Linked DNA regions of Arabidopsis thaliana. The protein of the gene in region 2 binds, or shares a complex with, the protein of the main gene of each other region. Each region holds a gene or a part of one and is shown on either strand. Other genes may lie near its edges. The genes, in order: TOC120, TOC75-IV, TOC132 and TOC34.

The links.
Region 1: TOC75-IV (region 2) and TOC120 share a complex: the UniProt entries of both Arabidopsis thaliana proteins name them as parts of the TOC core complex.
Region 3: TOC75-IV (region 2) and TOC132 share a complex: the UniProt entries of both Arabidopsis thaliana proteins name them as parts of the TOC core complex.
Region 4: TOC75-IV (region 2) and TOC34 share a complex: the UniProt entries of both Arabidopsis thaliana proteins name them as parts of the TOC core complex.

What each region holds. Positions count from the first base shown.
Region 1 is NC_003074.8:5,657,809-5,664,024, forward strand, and holds TOC120 (translocon outer complex protein 120), read right to left. Parts: upstream 4,259-6,216; 5' UTR 4,133-4,258; intron 3,959-4,132; 5' UTR 3,931-3,958; coding exon 661-3,930; 3' UTR 528-660; downstream 1-527. Other genes in the region: AT3G16610 (pentatricopeptide (PPR) repeat-containing protein), read right to left, coding at 1-527; KINESIN-13A (P-loop containing nucleoside triphosphate hydrolases superfamily protein), read right to left, coding at 4,852-5,034, 5,125-5,190, 5,302-5,872, 5,963-6,181. UniProt on the Arabidopsis thaliana protein: GTPase involved in protein precursor import into chloroplasts. Seems to recognize chloroplast-destined precursor proteins and regulate their presentation to the translocation channel through GTP hydrolysis.
Region 2 is NC_003075.7:5,802,706-5,806,898, forward strand, and holds TOC75-IV (Outer membrane OMP85 family protein), read left to right. Parts: upstream 1-1,683; 5' UTR 1,684-1,712; coding exon 1,713-1,889; intron 1,890-1,936; exon of another isoform or gene 1,937-1,988; coding exon 1,989-2,099; intron 2,100-2,191; coding exon 2,192-2,383; intron 2,384-2,458; coding exon 2,459-2,707; intron 2,708-2,783; coding exon 2,784-3,038; intron 3,039-3,148; coding exon 3,149-3,388; 3' UTR 3,389-3,650; downstream 3,651-4,193. Other genes in the region: AT4G09070 (TATA-binding related factor (TRF) of subunit 20 of Mediator complex), read left to right, coding at 1-127, 454-687. UniProt on the Arabidopsis thaliana protein: Mediates the insertion of proteins targeted to the outer membrane of chloroplasts. Required for the import of protein precursors into chloroplasts.
Region 3 is NC_003071.7:7,210,559-7,217,601, forward strand, and holds TOC132 (multimeric translocon complex in the outer envelope membrane 132), read right to left. Parts: upstream 5,060-7,043; 5' UTR 4,922-5,059; exon of another isoform or gene 4,569-4,921; 5' UTR 4,552-4,568; coding exon 931-4,551; 3' UTR 836-930; intron 722-835; 3' UTR 501-721; downstream 1-500. Other genes in the region: AT2G16630 (Pollen Ole e 1 allergen and extensin family protein), read left to right, coding at 1-314; PRORP2 (proteinaceous RNase P 2), read right to left, coding at 5,379-5,507, 5,579-5,647, 5,750-5,870, 5,969-6,147, 6,246-6,347, 6,517-7,043. UniProt on the Arabidopsis thaliana protein: GTPase involved in protein precursor import into chloroplasts. Seems to recognize chloroplast-destined precursor proteins and regulate their presentation to the translocation channel through GTP hydrolysis.
Region 4 is NC_003076.8:1,473,504-1,478,240, forward strand, and holds TOC34 (translocon at the outer envelope membrane of chloroplasts 34), read right to left. Parts: upstream 2,932-4,737; 5' UTR 2,779-2,931; exon of another isoform or gene 2,286-2,778; 5' UTR 2,270-2,285; coding exon 2,168-2,269; intron 2,081-2,167; coding exon 1,973-2,080; intron 1,872-1,972; coding exon 1,747-1,871; intron 1,645-1,746; coding exon 1,380-1,644; intron 1,289-1,379; coding exon 1,220-1,288; intron 1,128-1,219; coding exon 966-1,127; intron 870-965; coding exon 759-869; 3' UTR 524-758; downstream 1-523. Other genes in the region: SUN1 (SAD1/UNC-84 domain protein 1), read right to left, coding at 1-267; AT5G05010 (clathrin adaptor complexes medium subunit family protein), read left to right, coding at 3,634-3,636, 3,766-3,805, 3,894-4,117, 4,268-4,510, 4,587-4,737. UniProt on the Arabidopsis thaliana protein: GTPase involved in protein precursor import into chloroplasts. Seems to recognize chloroplast-destined precursor proteins and regulate their presentation to the translocation channel through GTP hydrolysis.

The DNA.
Region 1 (6,216 bases), on a different chromosome or scaffold from region 2:
ATCATAGCATTCCAAGCAACCATATCTCTCTTAGGCATTTCGTCGAACACCTTTATAGCCATCTCAAGTTCCCCACACTTAGCATAGAAATCAACCAGAGCAGTACATACATACATATCAGTTGCAAAGTCGCTACAATTCACATGACTATGTATCAGCTTACCATCGTCAATTGCTCGAAGACCAGCACATGCTTTCAAAACAAACGGGTACGTATATTTCGTGGGTCTAACACCAGAATTCAGCATCTTGTAGTACAAATCCAAAGCTTTTTCCGCGAAATCATTCGAAGCATAGGCTCTGATCATCAAATCCCAAGCAATAGGATTGATCCTTGGATGAGGAATTTCATCGAACACATGGCGTGCAAGTTCCACTTCATTGCATGATGCGTAAAGACGTGTTAAATTGACGAGCACTGTAGAGGAACTTAACGTAAGAGAGCGTTTAAGAAGATGCTGATGAATGACCTGACCTAAGACCAGATTCCTTGAGCGAATACAGGTTTCAAGAAGACTTAGAAACATTGGGATAATGGATTTTAAGTTTCAGACATATGTTACAACCAAACATCAAAGACTTAAAACAAAAGTGAATTCCGACAACTAAAAAAAGAAAAACATGTTTCAAGAAAAAATCAAAACAGTTAAATGTTACTCATCAGTGTCCATATTGCATTTGCTCAGGGGAATAATAAGTAAGAAGCTTCTTGAACAGAGGAACAAGTGCAACCACAGCAAGTTGAAGCTGCTCAGAGCTGTTTACGCGGATGCTTACTTGCCCTGCTCCTCTGTTATTCAGATTAGCACGAGCAATGAGATTAGAGGAACGTCCAATGGGTACTTGAGACTGTATATTCCCTCCGATAGCAAGATCGCCATGCCAATCCATCACAGAGAGTCCAAGAGTTGATAAAAACCGACCAAGCGGATAATCTTTATCTCGAAACTGAGCTTCTAAAGTACCACCATAAGCAACATCTCCACGACTAGTCATTGCTCCACCTGACATAACCATCCTGAACCGTTTATTAGCAATCAACTTATCTTCGACTTTTAGTCCCGCGGAAACTGAATCACCTAAGAGCGTAACAGAGAGACCAGCTGCTGCTTTGTTTTTCCTAAACTTGTTAAATCTTGTTTCACTTCGAATAGTGTACGCTAATTCCTTCCCAGCATTTTGCATGTCAAAACCTAGGGAAGTTGATCTACCTTCTCCATGTTTAACCGAGCTGGCCAATTCTAGCTGCACATGTGCATCCTTCTTGTCCTTTGTCACTTGGCCAGAGAAAGATACTGGTATTTTGTCTTTAACAACAAATAGTCGTTCCGCATTCACACCTTCATAACCAATATCATGATCCCACCCATGAGTTTCCAGCACTGGCCTAACAAGCCATTGATTGGAGGTATCAAGGTACCGGTACCGATGAGTAGGATTGTCAGAGTCAAAAGATGCAGGTAGAGATAAATCTGGCATTGGAACTGGAACAGATGCAGGTTCACTTCTCTCCTCTTCCACATTTTCACTATACCCGTTAGGCATATCTTTAATCTCAGCAGCAAATTTCTTCAACAACTTACGTCTCTTTCTTTCCTCTTTCATCTGTCTCTTCATAAATAGTTTCTCCCGATACTCCATCTCATCGAGATATTCCTTCTTCTGAGATTTGCTAAGCTTAGTCATCTCTGCTTTAGTCAACCGCTTAAAGGGAGGAAGCTCATCATACTCTGATTCTTCCTCAGAATCTGATGATTCGTCTAAATCATCTTCATCGTCTTCATCATCGTACTGTTGCTCAGGAAGCTTAGCTTGTGGTCTTGATTGCAGAAGCGATGAGAGGAGCAATGGTAGTGGCGGAGCCTTGGACCGAGTTGCAAATTGTCCCCCTGGAATATTATCTTGTAATTTCAGAAGAGCATTTGCTTCGGCAAGAATCTTGGATGCAAATGAGAGTAATAACAAATGAGGCTTCCACACTTGGCCATTAGGTAATACTCTCTGGCCTGCCCGATTTGTCCTGCAAGCAGAGTGGTTCTCAACTAAAGAAACAGGGTTCATGAGCCTCATATCTCCCGCTGCTTGGCGAATGGCCTGCTGGATGACATGAGAACGTTGTGTCACAAACATGTCATAGCTAGAAGCAGTACCATTTGGGCCATCTGGTGGAGCCGAAGCGGCATGAGTCAAACCCACAATGGCATTAAACCATATTGATGGTCCAAAAACATCAGTGATGGTGCGTAAGAGAGGCATGTCACCAGAATCTCTGCTTTGCATATCCAACCTATCAAGATATAACACAATGTCAGGCGGACTTTTCTTGATGAATGCCCTAACAGACTTCAGGATCTTCTCATTCTTGTGTTGATCTGACCAGGATGGTAAGAGACCGGGAGTGTCAATTACCCGTACCTTAATTCCCTGAACAAAACCCTCAATATCCTGAACCTTCTTTGTCCCCACCTGGAATGCATCAGTACTAATTTTCAGTTCATCAAAAATAGAATTGATGGTTGCACTTTTACCAACCCCACTTTTACCAAGCACCATAATCGTACAAGAAAAATCAAGGGGATCTTGTGCAGCTGCCTCAAGCTGTTCTGCCATGGCACTGGCACGATCAAAACTAAAGGCACCAACACGGCTTCCGTTTCTGCCCCTCAACTGTTCAGCCAATCCAAGCCTGTACAAAACCTGAGCAACAACAACATTATGTGGAGTTTGCCCTAATCTATGTGAAAGCCTCAAAAATTTGACCCTGATAAACTGGAGCTTCTCACGGGTCTCATCATGCTCATCTGTCTCTGCAGTGGTAGAGTCTTCAGCTTGCTGAGGCTGATTGTGAGACACATTTCCATTGACACGAGGCTGTTGTGTAACGCGTGGTGCAGGTTCCAAAAGTGGAGCAGCACGACCAAGACCTGCTGGGCGAGCAGGTGGTAATGCTGCAGTATCACTTCTAGACTCTGTTGGTGAAACAGAACTTAATACCTCAGATTCTCTTTCCATATGTTGGCTTTCCTTAATCTCTGGACCTATATTTACACTGCTATCTTGCTGCTTTACAATTTCCTTATTAGATTGAATATCATGTCCTCCATTACTGTTTTGACTTTCAGTCTCTCCCTTCTCCTCCGAACTAGATTTTTCCAATGGAGATAAGGTCCCAGCTGCTACTTCAATACTATCATTCAAGGATTTGTCACCTGAAACAATTTTAACACTATTGAACTCAGCACCAGTCTTACCATTTCTTTGTTCTGTTACCATGCCAGCTGATACATCAATTTCTTCCTCCCATTTTTCGTCGTCAATACCATTACTCCCTGTTTCCACGGAACAGGCACTTACTGAGATAACTTCCGCCACCAGTTCTTTATTCTCATCAGGAGAGACTACTCCATTTTCTGAAGAAGAATGTGTATTTCCGTTTTCCAAATTCACATCCTCAGTAGCTAAATTGGAAGTAGCTTTCTCACTGTTCTCAACCACATCCAAGCTTGATGCCATTTTACCATAAGAAATATCTGCATCTGCTACTTCCCCGTGATCATAATCATTCATTTTGAGAGTCACCAAATCAGAATCAGCCTCTTTCGTAGTTATACATTGCTCGTTAACCTCACCATGGCTCTCTCCAATCTCCGAATAATTAACCTTTAAATTTTCTACTCCTCTCTCATTTCTACTTGTTTCTTCCAAATCACACACTTCATCATTGGAAGCTAAAGGAAAATCCTCTTGCAACACATCGGTTTTGAGAGATTCAGGTTTTAGACCCTCCTGCGAACCAATTGCTTCCTCAAAGACCTCTTCTTCATTATCCTTCACTTCATCAGATCCCACCAACTCACTAATTCTACCATCCTCTGCAAGCTTCTTCTCATCCCCATATAACCTGGTTACAATCTCAGCCCCATCTCCCATTTCTAGGATCACCCAAAATCACGAAACACTGCACCAACCAAATTTTGTATCCTCGTTACTTTTAAATCCACAAGACACTAAATTAAATGGGAGTGAAACTAATATTTTCCAAATCGTAGGTATATTTTGCTCATAGGAATTCAGAAAATACAAAGAAGAATCTATTGATATTGAGGAGAAAAAGTGATGGCGAGAATCTAACCTGGTTAGAGAAGGCAAAAGTCTGGAAAGAAAAAAAAACAACTTCATGCGCTTTTTTTGTATTTGTATAAATCGCCTTTTACTCGCCTGCGACAGTGCGACTACGACGGGAAGGAGAAGGAGATAAGCGACTTTCATGGACGGTTTAAATCGGTTTGGGTTTTAACATCGGACGGTGGAAAATGGCTCTTATATTGCAATCGTGAAAAAGGCATGTCACGTGATCAATAGTAAAGTGTGGGCCAAGGCCTTTTTAGTTGGGCTGCATAATCTTGTTGGCCATTTTATCTTTACGACAAGAGAGAATTGCTTTATTTGTTCTTTTGGAGCTATTCAACTGTCTTTTCATTGGTTGTCACTATATAGATGGTATTTGAAGATCTTATTAATTGTTAGAAATTTGATTTTATATATGGCTCACCAAATTTTGAAACATTTTCAGATGATAAATGGTTTTATACTTTTTCAGTTGATTGATAAAAGAGTTTGATTCACATTGACAGTATCCAGCTTTCTGGGAGGATAGAGGAGAAGAGAAAAATAAGAAACACAAAAGGTATAACTTTATAATAAAGATTCAAAAATAAAAGGAAAGAAATGCCCAAATTCACAAACATGAAGGACATTTCTGTCATTCTTTGTCATATATAAGAAGAGATCACCCAACCAACCTTTCACACTTAAACAACACCACACTTTTGGTTTTCCTTCTTCTACCAACTACCGAGGAACTCTCTTACGGCTCAGTATTTCTTGTTCCTTGAGACGGTGTTGGAACCGAGCAAGCCTGGCTTGAAGACTGACTAGCCCTGCTGCTTTCCGGGACAACACAAAGCTCAGTTGCGTCACATAGTTTTCTATCATGCTTCCCGGTTGGTCCACCTCCGCTAGAAGTTTCATTTCCTGATAATGATATAACAGAAAAGAAAATTGAATGATGTGATAACATTCTACAATCGTTTTTTGTGCGCTGCAATGATGTGATTTACATACCTCGCGAACAATCTCCATTGTATCCTCAATTTCTTTTCTGTGCGCTGCAATCAGAGCTTCTTCTTCCTGAAAAAAGTCATGTGATGGTTACGATAAGACATAAACAGAACTACCGTTACTTGCAAATCAAATTCACAGCTTCATCTCATGTTTTAAAGGGATAGGTGAGTACTTTACCTCAAGCAGTGCATCGAGGTTTTCATCAAGCGAAGGGTCGGTTTCATATTGCCTTGAAGCGGTTTCATATTGCCTTGAAGCAGTTTCACTTGCGTTCTGTCTAAAATTTGTCAAGGTAGGGATATCCGACGAACTGACATCTCTTTTAGACCAATTTTGTGGTCTGTCTGGTTTTTCTTCCCGCAACCCTTTCCCACGAGGTGGTGACACTTTCTTTACTTTCTCTTCACGGTCTGAAGTTTCTTGGGGATATGAAGAAATGTTGTTTCTCTGACTAGTGGAGCCAGCAAAAGAACTGTTCGGCTCTGATCTTCCCTTGTCCATTGAGAATGATGGGATTCCACTTTCCTCTCGATAATTTGTAGGCTGTCTGAAGTCAATACCCGACGTACTGCTGTTGCTGTCCTTCTCGACCACCCTCCTCCTGGTTTCTGGTACATTCACTTCCTGTGGAGGCTCAAAGACATCTTCTACATCATTTGGGCCCAACAAAGGATCCTTATTAACCGGAGGCATTGAATTCGCAGTTTGATCTTTCTTGCTATTTCCACTTTTAGATAGACTTTTGACTCTGTTTATTCCATACATAACCAACAGAGGTTAATAGACGATGAAATTGAGAATTTGTTTCACAAGAGGCTATAGTTTGTACAAAACATACCGATCAGCATATCTTAGAGTATTGAGGGTATGTTCACACGATCCTGCATTTGGAGAGATGCAGGAAATCATCACCGTTCTTGAGTTTCCAACAAATGAGTCACGGAGCACTTCCGTTAGTTTGCTTCCACGAAATGGTATATGTAGCTGGTCATTGTCCAGTGCACGTATACATTCCTTAAGAGCCAAGAGACTCTTGTTGATTTCTGCGCCTTCAATCCTAAGAAAAATCCACAATGAAAACAATGAAGCATT
Region 2 (4,193 bases):
TCAGTCTTACAAATGCAAACTCTCGTTTTACTTTGAAGGGCTTGAGTATCAACTTGGGGATTTTCGTTTGAGAGTTGGTAAAGTTGTTCCTACTCATGCTGAGACCATTAGAGGCGTAGTCATGGAGGTAACAAATTTTATATCTTTTGAGTACGTTGAGATATATTAATAATCAATGTTAATGATTATCTAACACTCTAGTTAATTCATAATTTGGAGTTTGTAATGTAACTCAGTAACTAAAGGTTATTAGCTATGATTGGTAACACACATAATGACGGTTTCTAATGTGATTAGGCAGAAAATTTGTCAATTAAGAAAATTTGCATAATCTACGGTTTTCCATGCAACAAGTTTTCATTATACGAATTTTTAGTGCTATCAACTTATGCCATTATGCTATTATGCACTACTTTCATTTGAAACCTATAATTATGTGTGTGTACTATTTAGGTGGAGTATCTTCCTATATCATCAATGGGAATGGCAAAAAAATTGATGGAGGAGTTCTTGGAGATATGGCAAGAAGCTATGTCGAAAAGGTCGTTGCCGGGTAAGTTTGTGAACAAAGAACTCAACTTTGAAAAGTTTGGACTTGGAGACAACTACACTCCGCAACATACCGCTGTTGGATATGCTTTCTTCATGGCTAATTTGATGGCAGCAATTCAAGCTGGGAGAGGCTAAAGATAATACAACAAAGACTTTTATGAGTTTTTGTGGTATCATTGATTTTAGAAGTCATTAAGGATTGAAAAACAAATGGTAGTTTTAAAAAGTTGGAAGACCAATTTGTAAACTTGAGATTGGAGCAGATTGTGAATTCAGTTTCTTACCAACTTTTTGGTTTGTTTTATGACTGTGAAAACTTTATGAATCTTTTGACCCTAAACTCAATTACTGGTCACTTGTGTCTATAAAATGCATAAATAAAGCGAAAATGTTGGATTACGATTGGGCTTAGTGTTAGTTATTTGGGTCAGTCATTGAGTTGGGCTTAAGGCCCATAAATGAGAAGAATCCCAAATGCAGAATCAAAACGCAAAGAAGTTTTGGCGGTTGCGATTGCATGTTTTCTTCCAAACAGAGCTTACCGGTAGTAACAAACAATATAGAGAGAAAGAAGTGTGAGAGCTACAAGTTTGAAGAAATCGAGTAGAGAGAGAGACAGATCTAGATTCTTCTTCTTCTTCGTCTTCTTCGTCAACCTCTAGAAGACTCGTGTAGGTACGTAGCTTTGAATCTCTTCTTCTGTAACCTGAAATTTTGTTAATTCCTCTTGAGAGTGAAGCATTATCGAGTTTGATCTTCGAGAAATTGTACATAAATCGCTTGTTTCTCTCGTGTTCTTTCTTTGTACTGATTTCAAAACTTGAATCGCAAAGAACAAGCGATAAGATCAAAATCAACTACCAAAATCACTACAGAGAGCTATTTTTCTTTGGATTTTGGTTTTAAACATGTGTTTGATTACGATTCCAGACTGAAATTTGTATCTGAGTCAGTGGATTTTTTGGTGTTGCCTTGTTGATTCGTTCACGTTGTAGTAGTAGATTTCAGAATTTTGCTTTCGTTGCTTTGAGTTTAGCTTAGGATTTGGCTTTTAACAGAGTTTCTATTTGAGTAGAATTGTAAAATAGAATTTGATGTCTGCCAAGTGTTTGATGAAATTCCTCTGAGAAATGAACCTTAAGTTATTCTAGTGTGTATTAATGGATTTCTTCTTTGTTGTTCAGGTTATTGTGATGGAAGCTGTGAAGGAAGCTGTGAGGAAGATTAAGTCCTTAGTCATACCACATGCAGATGAGAAAGATAATGGTATTGTTTTTGAGATCAAGCTTAATGAGACAGATCAGAGAGTAGAAAAGTGGGGTCTTGATCCTTCTTTGGTATGTATTGTCTTCTACTAAACTTGGCAACTTTTTTATGTTATAAGAGTTTTCTATTGAATTTACTATGTCCTTCGTTTGATTATCTTGCATTATTAGGATTTTTTCGAGGTAACAGGGAACTGTAATTTGGGACGTCCAAATAGCGAGGGATCTAATCAGTCTCTCATGGGTTCTGTGACCATTAGGAACATCTTTAATCCTAAGCTGGTACACTTGTTTTTACATATGCTTCTGATACCTATCTAGTTTATTTTGTAGTTTGATATTTTGATCCTTTAATACGCTTGGTTTTCTCTTAGGATGATCTTTTGTCTAAGATTGAGTATGTACGGTTTCTGGAAGCTGTTAAAAAACCTAGAAACCGTACCTTCAAAACGAGCTTCTTCAATAGCAGAAAACTTAGCCCAGTGTTCACTGGAGGACCAGGCTATGAGGATCTAGTGCCTCCAATGTTTGTGGGTCGAGATTGTCTTAAAGCTACTATAACTGAGGTAACCAAGTCTCCTATATATATAGATAGTCAACTTGTAATCATCTCTCACAAGCACCTTTTTTTTCACGTCCAGAACTTAACCCGTCAGAGAGAACTCACATATGGAGTTATGTTTGAAGAGATAATAACCCGAGATGAAAACAGGCGAATCTCTGAAAATGGGCTCTTGTTATCGCCTGACGGTGGAATCAGTATTAATGGACCTCCAACAACTCTAAGTGGTACCGGTATTGACCACATTGCCACTCTACAAGCCAACATAACCCGAGACAACACCAAGCTAGTGAATGGGGCTGTTGTTGGAGAGAAGAATATCTTTCAGGTTTTGTATCAAATCCCTTGATGTTGGTGTTTTTAACTAAATTAGAGCTTTAATAGTGTACTAACACAAATCGCAGGTGGATCAAGGCTTAGGTATAGGAAATAATTTTCCGCTCTTCAACCGCCACCAACTATCATTAACAAGTTTCATTCAGCTGAAGCAAGTAGAAGAAGGATCCGATAAACCACAACCACCAGTTCTAGTCCTCCATGGTCGTTACGGTGGCTGCATAGGCGATCTTCCAAGCTATGATGTTTTTGCTCTTGGTGGACCTAACTCCGTTCGAGGATACAGCATGGGAGAACTTGGTGCAGCTAAAAACATTCTCGAGGTTAAATATAATTACGAAAAACATGCTTTTGTTTTGGTCTTTCAGTTTATAAAATCTGATAATGCTAATTGTATATAGCTTTTTTTTGGTATGTTGCTAATTGTATATAGCTTGGTGCTGAGATTAGAATTCCTGTCAAGAACACACATGTGTATGCATTTGCTGAGCATGGAAACGATTTGGGAAGTTCAAAGGATGTGAAAGGGAATCCAACAGGGCTTTACAGGAAAATGGGACATGGTTCATCGTATGGTTTGGGTGTGAAACTCGGTATGGTGCGAGCTGAATATACTGTACGTCACAATCGTGGAACCGGTGCTCTGTTTCTCAGGTTCGGGGAGAGATACTAAGGTCATGCCATGAAGACTTTGTGCTGCTTTCTTTCTTAACTCTAATACTTTGGTTTATAATCCTGATACTCTAGTTATGTAAATGCGTGCATAGCAAGTCATTGAGTTTAGGCATTTGTTTAAAGCGATAGAAGAGAATAAGAACAAGCCGTTTCATGTCTCTCGTCACGACAGTAAATGTTTAGTTAGATTTGTTTTTGACTTTGAAGAAGTCTGTTCACTGTAGACGTAGAACACGTACTACATTTACTCATGCCCTCTCTATTAACTTGTTGATTACGCAAAACGACTTTTCCGACACTTATGACCTAGTCCTTATTGGTCCACTCGCATTTCTCGGATGTTTATGTCCTCTCAATGGGATGTGACGGACCAATAAGGTTTATTGTATTACATCTGGCCGGTTTGTGAAACACCGTCATATATCCGAAATGGTAACTTGTATATATTTTTACTGTATATAGAAGGTTCCAGATTTTTACCACTTGTTTGCGTAACTCTCTAGCTATTAATGTATTAAAGATTTTATTTAACAAAATAAAACTCAAAAGTCACGAGTTCTAATGTCGAAGGTTAAAAATAAACAATTTTACATATGTTGTGATCTCTTTGTGAGTTTATCTATTTCTGATTTTAATGGTTGTTAGAATTGCTTAAAACGACCAGTACTGCAAGTTGATATCTATTAAACCTTTGATGAGCTTATTGTTCTGGAATTATCAAGGATTGGGGTGGTCTCATGTATTATCAACCGTCTAAAGGAAATGCATAAAATACAGTTTAGAAAGTTTTTATTTCAATGGAG
Region 3 (7,043 bases), on a different chromosome or scaffold from region 2:
ACTGGAGGGCGATAGGTCCAGACACAAAGGTCGCAGTTGCATTTGGGCTAGTAGCCGGGAGAATATACGGCACAGATATGACAGTACGAGAAGCGCTTGACGGGCGAGGAGAAGCCTATAAGACACTTCTAAGAGAGGCAACAACTGCATTGCTCAATTCATACAACTCTCTAGGATTTCCTTATAATTCCGTCGCTGTGATCACATATACCAATCTGGCTCTCCTCGGGAATTCGGAACACGATGTCCTCATGACTGCTATTCGTTTCATCAAGGCTAATTCCGGGACCTGCAGATTCACAGTCTGCAATTGATTGAATGTGTTTTCAATACTTATATACTCTACACTCTTTCTTTCTCTTTTACATTGTTCTTGGGTCCTTTTGTAATACTATAAAAGTCTATACCTGGATTCATTGGAGAATTTATGGACTATTATTGTATCCCTATTTATACTCGGCATTAAACTTAGTTGTTACAAAGCCTAACGTTCTAGCACTGTGAGCACTAAATGTTGTTATGATATAATGCATCAATGATTGGAGAGGGACATGAACAAAAGTAGATATGCTTCATTCATAAGGGAGATCACAAGGTCTTAGAAATAGAAGAAAAACAAACCACTGAGCTATTATATATCAGACAAGGAACGTGTTATGTTCTGGCTATTTCAAGACACAAACTTTCCTCCAACAATTGGTCTCTTGCTACCAGACAGATCCTGTTCAAAACCAAAGCACATCAACGCTCAGCAAAATCCATTAAGAGGGTTTCCAAGAAAACGAAAATATCGAAATCAGTAATCACAGTAAGATATAGAGATCAGATTGTGTACCTTTTCAACTCACTCTAACATGTTCTTGTGACTAATCGATTCCTAATACTCCAGTGCAAAGGGATGGAAGTGAAATCAGCCTAAATGTTTCTTAATCATTGTCCATATTGCGTTTGCGGGTAATAATAACTAAGTAGCTTCTTGAAGAGAGGAACAATCGCAACCATAGCAAGTTGGAGCTGCTCGGAGCTGTTAACACGAACACTTACTTGCCCTGCTCCTCTATTGTTCAGATTAGCACGAGCAATTAAATTAGAGGAACGTCCAATGGGAACCTGAGACTGTATGTTCCCTCCAATAGCAAGATCACCGTGCCAATCCATTACAGAAAGTCCAAGAGTAGTCAAAAACCGACCAAGCGGATAATCTTTATCTCTCAACTGAGCTTCCAAAGTACCACCATAAGCAAAATCTCCCCGACTAGTCATAGCTCCACCAGACATTACGATTCTGAACCATTTACTAGCAATAAACTTATCTTCGACTTTCAACCCCGCAGAAACCGAATCACCCAAGTGTGTTACAGAAAGACCAGCTGCAGCCTTGTTTCTCCTGAAATTGTTAAATCTCGTTTCGCTTCGAAGAGTATAAGCCAATTCCTTTCCAACAGTTTGCATGTCGAAACCTAGGGAAGTTGATTTACCCTCTCCATGTTTAACCGAGCTGGCCATTTCTAGCTGCACATTTGCATCCTTCTTGTCTTTTGTCACTTGACCTGAGACAGATATTGGTATTTTTTCTTTTACAACAAAGAGCCGTTCTGCATTCACACCTTCATAACCAATATCATGATCCCACCCATGAGTTTCCAGGACTGGCCTAACAAGCCACTGATTGGAGGAATCAAGGTACCGGTAGCGGTGAGTAGGGTTATCAGAGTCAAAAGACGCAGGTAGAGATAAATCTGGCATAGGAACTGGAACTGATGCAGGTCCACCACTCTCCTCTTCCACATTTTCACTATACCCATCAGGCAAATCTTTAATCTCTGCAGCAAATTTCTTAAACATCTTACGTCTCTTTCTTTCCTCTTTCATTTGCTTCTTCATTAAAAGTTTCTCTCGGTACTCCATTTCATCGAGATACTGCTTCTTCTGAGATTTACTAAGCGTAGCCATCTGAGCTTTAGTCAAACTCTTAAACGGAGGAAGCTGATCATACTCTGATTCTTCGTCTGAATCTGATGATTCTTCTAAATCATCTTCATCTTCTTCATCACCATACTGCTGTTCAGGAAGCTTAGGTTGTGGTCTTGATTGCAGAAGCGATGAAAGGAGAAATGGTAATGGCGGAGCCTTGGACCGAGCTGCAAATGGTCTCCCTGGAATATTATCTTGCAACTTCAAAAGAGCATTTGCTTCTGCTAGAATCTTAGATGCAAATGAGAGTAGCAACAAATGTGGCTTCCACACTTGGCCATTCGGTAATACTCTCTGGCCTGCCCGATTAGTCCTGCAAGCTGAGTGATTCTCAACTAAAGAAACAGGGTTCATGAGCCTCATATCTCCAGCTGCTTGGCGAATGGCCTGCTGGATGACATGAGAACGTTGTGTAACAAACATATCATAGCTAGAAGCAGTGCCATTTGGGCCATCTGGTGGAACAGAAGCGGCATGAGTCAAACCCACAATGGCATTAAACCATATCGAAGGACCAAAAACATCACTTATGGTGCGCAGGAGAGGCATGTCACCAGAATCTCTGCTTTGCATATCCAACCTATCAAGATATAGTACAATGTCAGGTGGATTCTTCTTGATGAAAGCCTTAACAGAATTCAGGATCTTCTCATTCTTGGCTTGATCAGACCAGGAAGGTAAGAGACCGGGAGTGTCAATCACCCGTACCTTAATTCCCTGAACCAAACCCTCAACATCTTGAACCCTCTTTGTCCCCATCTGGAATGCATCAGTACAAAATTTCACTTCATCAAATATAGAATTGATCGTTGCACTTTTACCAACCCCACTTTTTCCGAGAACCATAATCGTACAAGAAAAATCAAGTGGATCCTGTCCAGCAGCCTCAAGCTGTTCTGCCATGGCACTAGCGCGATCAAAACTAAAAGCACCAACACGGCTTCCATTTCTGCCCCTCAACTGCTCAGCCAATCCAAGCCTGTATAAAACCTGAGCAACAACAACATTATGCGGGGTTTGCCCTAGTCTATGTGCAAGCCTCAAAAATTTTACCCTGATCAACTGGAGCTTCTCGCGGGTCTCATCATGCTCATCAGCCTCTGTAGTGGTAGAGTCTTCAGCTTGCTGAAACTGATTGTGAGACCCATTCCCATTGACGCGAGACTGTTGAGGAGCACGTGATGCAGGTTCCAAAAGAGGAGAAGCACGACCAAGACCTGCTGGACGAGCAGGTGGTAATGCCGCAGGATTACTTCTAGACTCTGTTGGTGAAACAGAACTTACTACCTCAGGTTCTGTTTCCACATGTGAATTTTCTGTAATCTCTGGATCTACATGTACTCTGCTGCTTTGCTGCTTCTCAAGCTCCTTATTTGGTTGAGGACTCTGAACATCATGTCCTCCATTAGCACTTTGAACTGGTTTGTGTTCTCTACTAGTTACCCCAGGGGAGCCACTATTGCTGTGAACTTCAGTTGACTCAGGATATGAGTGCGGCGAAGAAGCCAAGTGTTGCTCTGGTTTTAAACAAGTACTGTCCCCTTCAGTCTCTCCCTTTTCCCCGGAACTAGATTCCTCCAATGGAGATGAAGTCACAGCACTTGATACTTCATTGTCACCTGAAGCATTAGTAACGATATTACTTGTGTAGGCGGCACCAGTCTCACCATTTCTTTCTGCCTCGGACTCACTGTCCATACATACTGAACCATTCTCAAATAGATCCTTACTTGTTCCTTCACCTTCCACAACATCTTGTTCTGTCTGTTTCTCAAATAGATTCTTACTTGTTCCTTCACCTTCTACAACCTCTTCTTCTGTCCGTTTCTCAAATTGATTTTCAGTTGTTCCTTCACCTTCCTCAACCTCTTGTTCTGTCTGTATGCCATCAACTCTTTCCTCCCAATTATCGACTTCAATGCCATCATTCCATGGTTCCTCAATCCCATCATCTTTAGGGATAACTTCAGCCACCACTTCTTTATTTTTAGGAGAGGCGATTCCATTTCCCAAAAAAGAATGAGTCTTTCCGTTTTCAATACCCACATGCTCAGCTGCTAAATTGGAACCATTAGTATTAGTTGATGTAGCATTCTCAGTGGTATCAACAACATCCAAGCTCGATTCAACTTTATCATAAGAACCACCTCCACCTCCTTCCCCCTTATCACCATTCATTTTAGTAGCCAAAACATCAAATTCAGCCTCTCCCGCACCATGGCTCTCTCCAACAGCCGTAAAATCTTTAACACCCCCTTCATTGCTACTCGTTTCATCCAAATCACCCACTGCCTCTTCAAAATCCTCCACTTCATGCTCAACCATAGAACTTTTAAGAGTTTCCACTAAAGGCAAATCATCAGATTCAAACAATTCACGTTTTGGATCCTCCTCCTCCTCCTGCTCATCATTCTCTGAACCAATCGCTTCCTCAAAAACCTCGTCCTCGTTATCATCCCTTACTTCATCAGATCTCACCAACTCATTCTTCACTACTTGCTCATCACTAATTCTATCCTCAGCAAGCTTCTTATCTTCCCTATCTGACCTAACCACAAACTCAGTCCCATCTCCCATTTTCTAGATCACCACCGCTACGGGAAACAAAAGCCACAAATACAATAATCAGAGATCAGAAATCACTCCAATTACCAACTACGCTTTAACCATCAATATAAATTCCAACAACCAAAAAAAAAAAAAAACGAGCACACAGCTAAAAGAAACCTAGATCAGAGTTAATCACCACGAATCCTAGAATCCTTATCCCTTACCAATTCCAGAAACTAAAATTCAATTGAAGTTAACCAAATCGCTTAAACACAGGTCTAAGCGGTGATAGGGATCTCCAAACATGGAAGAAGAACTTTGTTGATTACAGGAAACGAAAACCAAAACAGAAGAAAGAAGACGAAGAAAGAAGAAGAGAAATGGAGAGAAGCCTTACCAGAAGTTAGAGATAGAGAGAGAGAGAGAGAGAGAGAAATAGAGAGAAGGTGAAAAAGTGTGAAGATCCTTTCATGCGCTTTACCGGCTGCGAGCCTGCGACTACGACGGGGAAGGAGATAAGAGACGTTCATCAACGGTCCTGATCAGTTTGGGTTTAAGCATCGTACGGTTGATAATGACTCGTTGATGCAATCGTGAAATGATGCTGACGTGGACTATATAAAGTAGAGTGAGTGAAGCCGTGAAAGGGAATAGAAAACCCTCGTGCGTCAATTCGGTTTAACCAACCCGGTCTGATTCGGTTTGGTCTACTACAATTTTTTGTGTTCTTTCTAATGAGAAAAGTTCAGTCCCTTATTATAGAACCAATGAACGTTTTTTGTGTTAATCTTCAAAGGACAAAGAATGAAAACTCATAACAAATGATACATGAACTCAATAAGCTGGTGCAGCTACTAAGGAATCTTCCCATTACTCTTAGGTGAATCTAAAATACTTTGTCTGCTAATACACATCCAAGTTCTTGAAGACTCTTCATTGTTTTCGCATGAGACCGGGAAATGCCATGACCCTTTCTCTGATTCCTGATTTTGTCGAAACGTAATTGAGAAACTATCGAAACCGGAGAAAAAAAGGACTGAGATGGTAAACAAACCTGAATGACAACCGAAAAAGGAGACGGCATTTCAAGCTTCAGGTTACCTTTCACAAAAGTATACCGGACCTGTACCAAAACCATAAACCAAATGTTCTAATTGTAGACTTCTCAAAGTTGCACTTTTAGTATAAAAAGTTACATATTGTATATAAGTTTATATAACTTTACCTGATGTCTTTCTTTCCACTTTTGGAAAAAAGTACTCCCTAAGAGTTCAAAAATGTGGTCTCTCATCTCATCATTTGTCACAAGCAAACACTTGAGCTTAGCAGCAGCATACAGCCAATACCTGGAAAGGTAAAAAAAACAAAAGATGAGTGTAGTAACCAAACATTGTTTGTGTTTTTTGTCGAAATAATGGTGCTGAGAGAAGCTAAAAGTTCATACCAATCATCATTGGAACCTGGTGGAGTTGCATACAGGACACCGTTACTAATCCATTCTTCAACCAGATTCCGGTGAGTTGGGTTTTCTAAAAGCGTCTTGACCCGTCTCTTGTGCAATAGAATTAGGGGCCATTTGTTATTACCACTTTCACGGTAAAGTTCCTTCATCACAGATTCAAGCTGCTCTATCCCACATGTATGTGATATCAGTATAGCAAGGAATGGATTCTAAAAATATGGAGGAAGAAAAACAAGTACCCCAGAAAAGATGGGAGAACCTGTGAAAGACTGAAACTGCCATCTACAAAATTTTGTTGGTAGAGCCCAATATTTGCTCCATCTACTATAGCTTCGTAATCTCCATGTTTCTCAAGCCAGTCCTGCCAAATAAGATAGCAACATTCAACAAATATCGACATTTGAATACTCAAGATTGATGACAATTCGCAGCAAAAACTCCAACCAGTGTACCTATCTCTAAATGCTTATCATGCAATATTTAATGTCCAAGACTTATTATAACCAAGCTAAGAGAATCCCATCTCTAACCTGAAACTCGCTGAAGACCACATTTGTCTCACATGAATTCATCTTTGTCTTCCTATCCATAGCCAAAGCCACCAAAGAATCCACAAACTTCTGTGTTTCTACCTCATTGGTATCTACACAAGCTAACTGCTCACTGCAGCTCAAACATCTTCCTGTTGAGCTAACATTACCTTTCTTTACAGTCCATTTACCCTCCCCAACCCACCCATGCCCGTGCCACCCACCTCCATTATTCAAAACAGCTTCTCTAAGCATCCCAACATCAGAACCAATTCCATTATCACCAACCTCACCAGCTTTTTCTCCACAGAACCATTCCTCAATAATTTTCAAAGTTTCTTCACTAACGCAGCCAACATATTCCCTCAACTTATGTAAATATCTATAAACCTTGTTTTCTCGACCCGTGGCAGCACTTACCTTCAACAAAGCCGATATCTCTGCCTCCTCCAATGCAATACCTGCAGCTTCCATGTGCTCTTCTACCTCATAACCCTTTTCAGCCTCCAACTTCTCGCAGAAACAGA
Region 4 (4,737 bases), on a different chromosome or scaffold from region 2:
GCGCTGCGTAGCGGTGGTATTAGTCCCCGTCGCAGCGGAAACAGACCTTCTCGTCACAGGACCCAAATCTTGTCCCTGAGATCGATCAAGGGTAGCTTCACCGCGGCTCAGATCTCTACTCGTACCACCGGCTTCCCCAACACCACCGTTCGCAAGCGATTCGCTTTGAGGGTAATCAAAGTTTGATTTTTTCTCTCCGGCAAGAATCGGCGTCCGTCTAGTCGCTGCCGCCGTATTAGCGGTGATCGACACCGTTGATGCCGACATTTGATCTGGTTTGACTACACAATCGCACCCCTCGGATAAAAAACAAATCTTTACACTAATGTCGAAATCAGAACCCTAAATTCACTAGAGAGAGTTGGAAAATTCGAAAACTTTGTTCGAAATTGAGGAAAGAGTAAACGATCTTCTCTGAACCGTCTTCTCCGTTTGCCAAATTCCTCCTTTAAACATCGGTTTTTTTTTTCTTTAACTCAAATTTTTATTTTATTTCAAAACTTGCATCGCGTCAAAAATAACTGCAGCGGTTACTTTTACCATTAATGACAAAATGGAATTATCTCTTCTAATCATTTTCACCAAGAGAGTAGCTCTTAATTACGATTTACGAGAGGCTAAAGAAGATGTAATTAAGATGAGAGAACTTTGCGACAGTAATTATCTGTGAACCACATTTCTCGAGTTGTATCACAATTTCAACTACAGAACAATCTCTCAGATAGACAAACAAACCAAACAAAACTCGTGTCCACAACTCAAGACCTTCGACTTGCTAAACCGGAGTCTCGCAGCTCCCACGCCGGTTTACTCTCTCTCGAAACATCGGACTTGATTGCTCGAACCAATGGCTTCATCACCAGCAAGTACTGCATTTTCAAACCATCAAAAGATGAATAAATGATGCATGATGTTTTGATCAAGCCTTATTCTGTATTGTTACTGAATGGTTCAGAGGGGCTTACTTGGAATGCAAACATTAAAGGAATCAGTTTTTTTCCTCTTTCGTTTGGGTTTGGCCCTTCGACCAGTTTCTTGTCAACATGAATCGCCTTGTTGCCATTAAAAGAGATCTCTGTGATTTTGTTGAACAGATTGGGAATCCAACTAGTCCCGCATGGAAGAATCTGTCACAAATTTGGAAAATCCGACTTCAAGATTGGTCCAACTACTACAAGACGCGAGAAAAAGAGAACGTGGACAAAACCAATCAACTGACCTTTTCATCGCTTTCGTTCTTATGGCATCTTCCGCTGTTCTCAACAAGAATGACAGGAATAGAAAAACCCTACAATAAAAGATCAGAGGTAAGTGAGTCTATTAACTTGACTACTATCAAGGTCGTTACAGACATTTATGTAAGGAGGAAAAAACTATACCTGCAAATCCTGTTTCTTCAGTTGAGCGCCTGTCTGGATAACTTTTAGAAGAGCATTAGATCTTTTGGAGACAAAGTGGTTATAATTTAACCCGTCTGGTGGAGAGAACTGAGCATGGGTGAGAACAAGAGCAGACTTCTTCCATATCTCTTTACCAAATGCATCAGTTATAGCACCGACAACTTGCCTATCAAGGTCATCCACCCGGTACACATCCAAACGGTCTACGTATAGTAGCACATCTATAGTCATGTTGAGGAGAAATCTGTTCAAATTCAACATCCACGAATCCAAATTAATACAAATGCCACAAATGAGCCCCAAATTAGGAGAGTAACTCCTTAGACCTGGAAACAGTTCATCATACCGTTTTATAATGTTGATGGCTTGATCATTCACATATCCTCCCTCAATAAGACCAGGAGTGTCGATGATATTCAATGTAAATCCCGATCTTGTGCGAGAGACCAAGGTAGGCCTCAGTCCTTCAGACTATAAAGAGGGAAAATCACACACTTTCTATGAGAAAAATTAAAAGAAAGATAGCCAATAGTCATAAAGACAAGCCATGAGAAGAGCATTAAACTTGGCACCTGGAAAGTACTAACTGCAGCAGCTTTCTCGCCTATAACTGAATTCACAGTTGATGACTTTCCAACACCACCTTTCCCCATTACAAGGACCGTTAGCGAGCTCACATCCTACACCAGTTTTTTTTCTTTCTTAAATCTCTCTAAGACAAGAAGAAACAAACAGAAAGCAGATGAAGCTAGAAACAAGAAAGGAACCTCTTCTTTATACTTCCCAAGGATCTCGAGCAATTTAGATTGAGTAGCAGGTGGGAACTGCTGGATACCGATCCATTCACGAAGCGTTTGCAAAGCTGCCATGGACACAAATCCTTACCTACACTTCCAAGGAAAGCAAAAAAGGATCACAAAAGAGAAGACTAAATCATCTGCTAAGAAACTAAACAATCAGAAGACCAAAGAACAAAAATGAGTAATCGCCCATAAAAGAAAAAGTTGTCTGATTCCACTATCTGAATCAATCCTATAACTTTCTAGCAATTAAAGTCTCAGAAAATTAAAAAGAAGATAACTTTTTTTTACTAAGAACAAAAACCCTTAAAATCCATCTTCATTTGCCGTTGTCTCCATTAGTTTCTTTTTTCCAGATCTTTAAATGAAAATAATCTCATTGCTTTAGAAACGAACATGGCGCAAGTGGGCATACCAAAAACTAATAACTTAAGCACTAAACTAATCAAGTATTGAGAGATAATCAGAATCCTAAATCCTGAACTGGGGTCAAATGCCAATTTATCAAATGAGCATACTTCTAAGTGGACGAAGTGAAAACCAGATAAAGAAAGAAAACGAGAGAGAGAGTAACCTACCTGAGCTAGAGTTACTAGTGGCGGATATTCGTCGCCGGATTCGCTGACCTCGTATCAAATTAAAACCCTAGAACTGAAATTGACTTTTGAAGATGATTGATTGCTACAAATCTCAATACATGAAAGTACATTCCTTTCAAAATTCAACCGGACTAAACCGAATGTCGTCGGTCTGCACCAATGACGAATTTGCCCTTTTGGCATTTTTTCTTCCATTTACTGGGTTGGAAAGCCCAATAAGGAACTGAAACGGCCCAGATTACTTGTCCTTGTTTTGTGGATCGTCTTTTCTCTAACACACACACCAGGATTTAATCTGAGACTCGTTTCATCTTTTTTACTCGGCGAGCTTGTGAAGAAGAAACTGGTGATTTCATCTCCTTCGATCACTCCCAAGGTATCGTCTTGTTCTCTCGCTCTTCGCCTTCACTGATGGTGATGATTTTCGTTTTCCTTTGAATGAATGTTCTCTCTGGCTACATTTCTGTGGATCTCCATTATTAAGAATTTTCTCCTCCTTCTAAATTTCGCGATCCTGTTTCATGAATTTGATCCGCTTGTGTTGATTTTGATTCTACAGTTATGTTTTTCGATTATGAGCCTCTGATGCTCGTAGATCCGCTGGATCTGCGATGAATTCTTTTTATATTTTCGATTCGCTAGTCTAGTTTCGTTTGGATTCGTGTATTCGAGATCTCTTCCTCTATTACGTGATTTATGATCCTGAAGATCAAATCCCGTTTGTTTCTTCTGATCTCGCTCTAACTGGATTTACTCTAACATTGGTTCTTTGTATTTCAGATTCGCATTACCTTTCTTATAATCGCCGAGATTGTTCGAGCCTGAATAATCAAAATGGTATTGACTTTTGTTCTATGATTGGTTTTTTTCTTTTTCCTTTTTAGTGCATCTTCGCAATTTGGTGTTAACTTTAGTGTTTGATGAGTGTCTGGCGCGTTTTCTAAAGTTGGAACCTGTGCTTTATAGGTTGTGCTTGCTGCTGCCATTGTGGTCAAGTCTGGGAAAGGTTATTTTCATCTATCTTTGACTTTGTCTTCGAATTCTCGTTTTTCAATATTTTTGCGTTTTTTCTAACTTTCTTCTTTTTTATGTAGTGATTGTTTCCAGACACTATGTGGATATGTCCCGTATCAGAATCGAAGGTCTACTTGCAGCTTTTCCTAAGCTGGTTGGAATGGGAAAGCAGCATACCTATATCGAGACGGAGAATGTGCGATATGTTTATCAGCCTATTGAAGCTCTGTTCCTGCTTCTTGTTACAACTAAGCAGAGTAACATTCTAGAAGACCTGGCCACCCTTACTTTGCTCTCCAAACTTGTATGCTTCTTTCTTTCTTTCTTTCTTTTTTTTTTACTTCTGCTACTTTATTTGAGGAGATTATTGCCTTGACTCTGGATGTGTACTGGTTCTTAGTTCTTTTGAAAAGTGAGTGTTCCAAGTGCTGTTTGATCATTTGATTGTTTCTAGGTACCTGAGTATTCCATGTCTTTAGATGAAGAAGGGATTTCCAGGGCATCTTTTGAGCTCATATTTGCATTTGATGAAGTCATATCTCTTGGGCACAAGGAAAGTGTGACAGTTGCCCAGGTGAAGCAGTATTGTGAAATGGAAAGTCATGAGGAGAAGTTGCATAAACTGGTTATGCAGAGCAAGATCAATGACACTAAGGACGTGATGAAGCGTAAGGCTAATGAGATTGACAAAAGCAAGGTACATGACAGGAGCGCACCCTGCTGTTGTATTCTATTTCTGTAACTCCTATTAATATTTCTTATGTAATTCCTAGATTGAAAAGAATAAGCCAGGAGGATTTTCGTCCATGGGTTCAATGGGATCTGGAAGACTTGAAAGTGGTTTCAATGAATTGAGCATATCCAGTGGTGGCGGCGGTGGTTATGGAAGTGGTTCTGGGTTTGGCATGATTTCAGATGTCGACC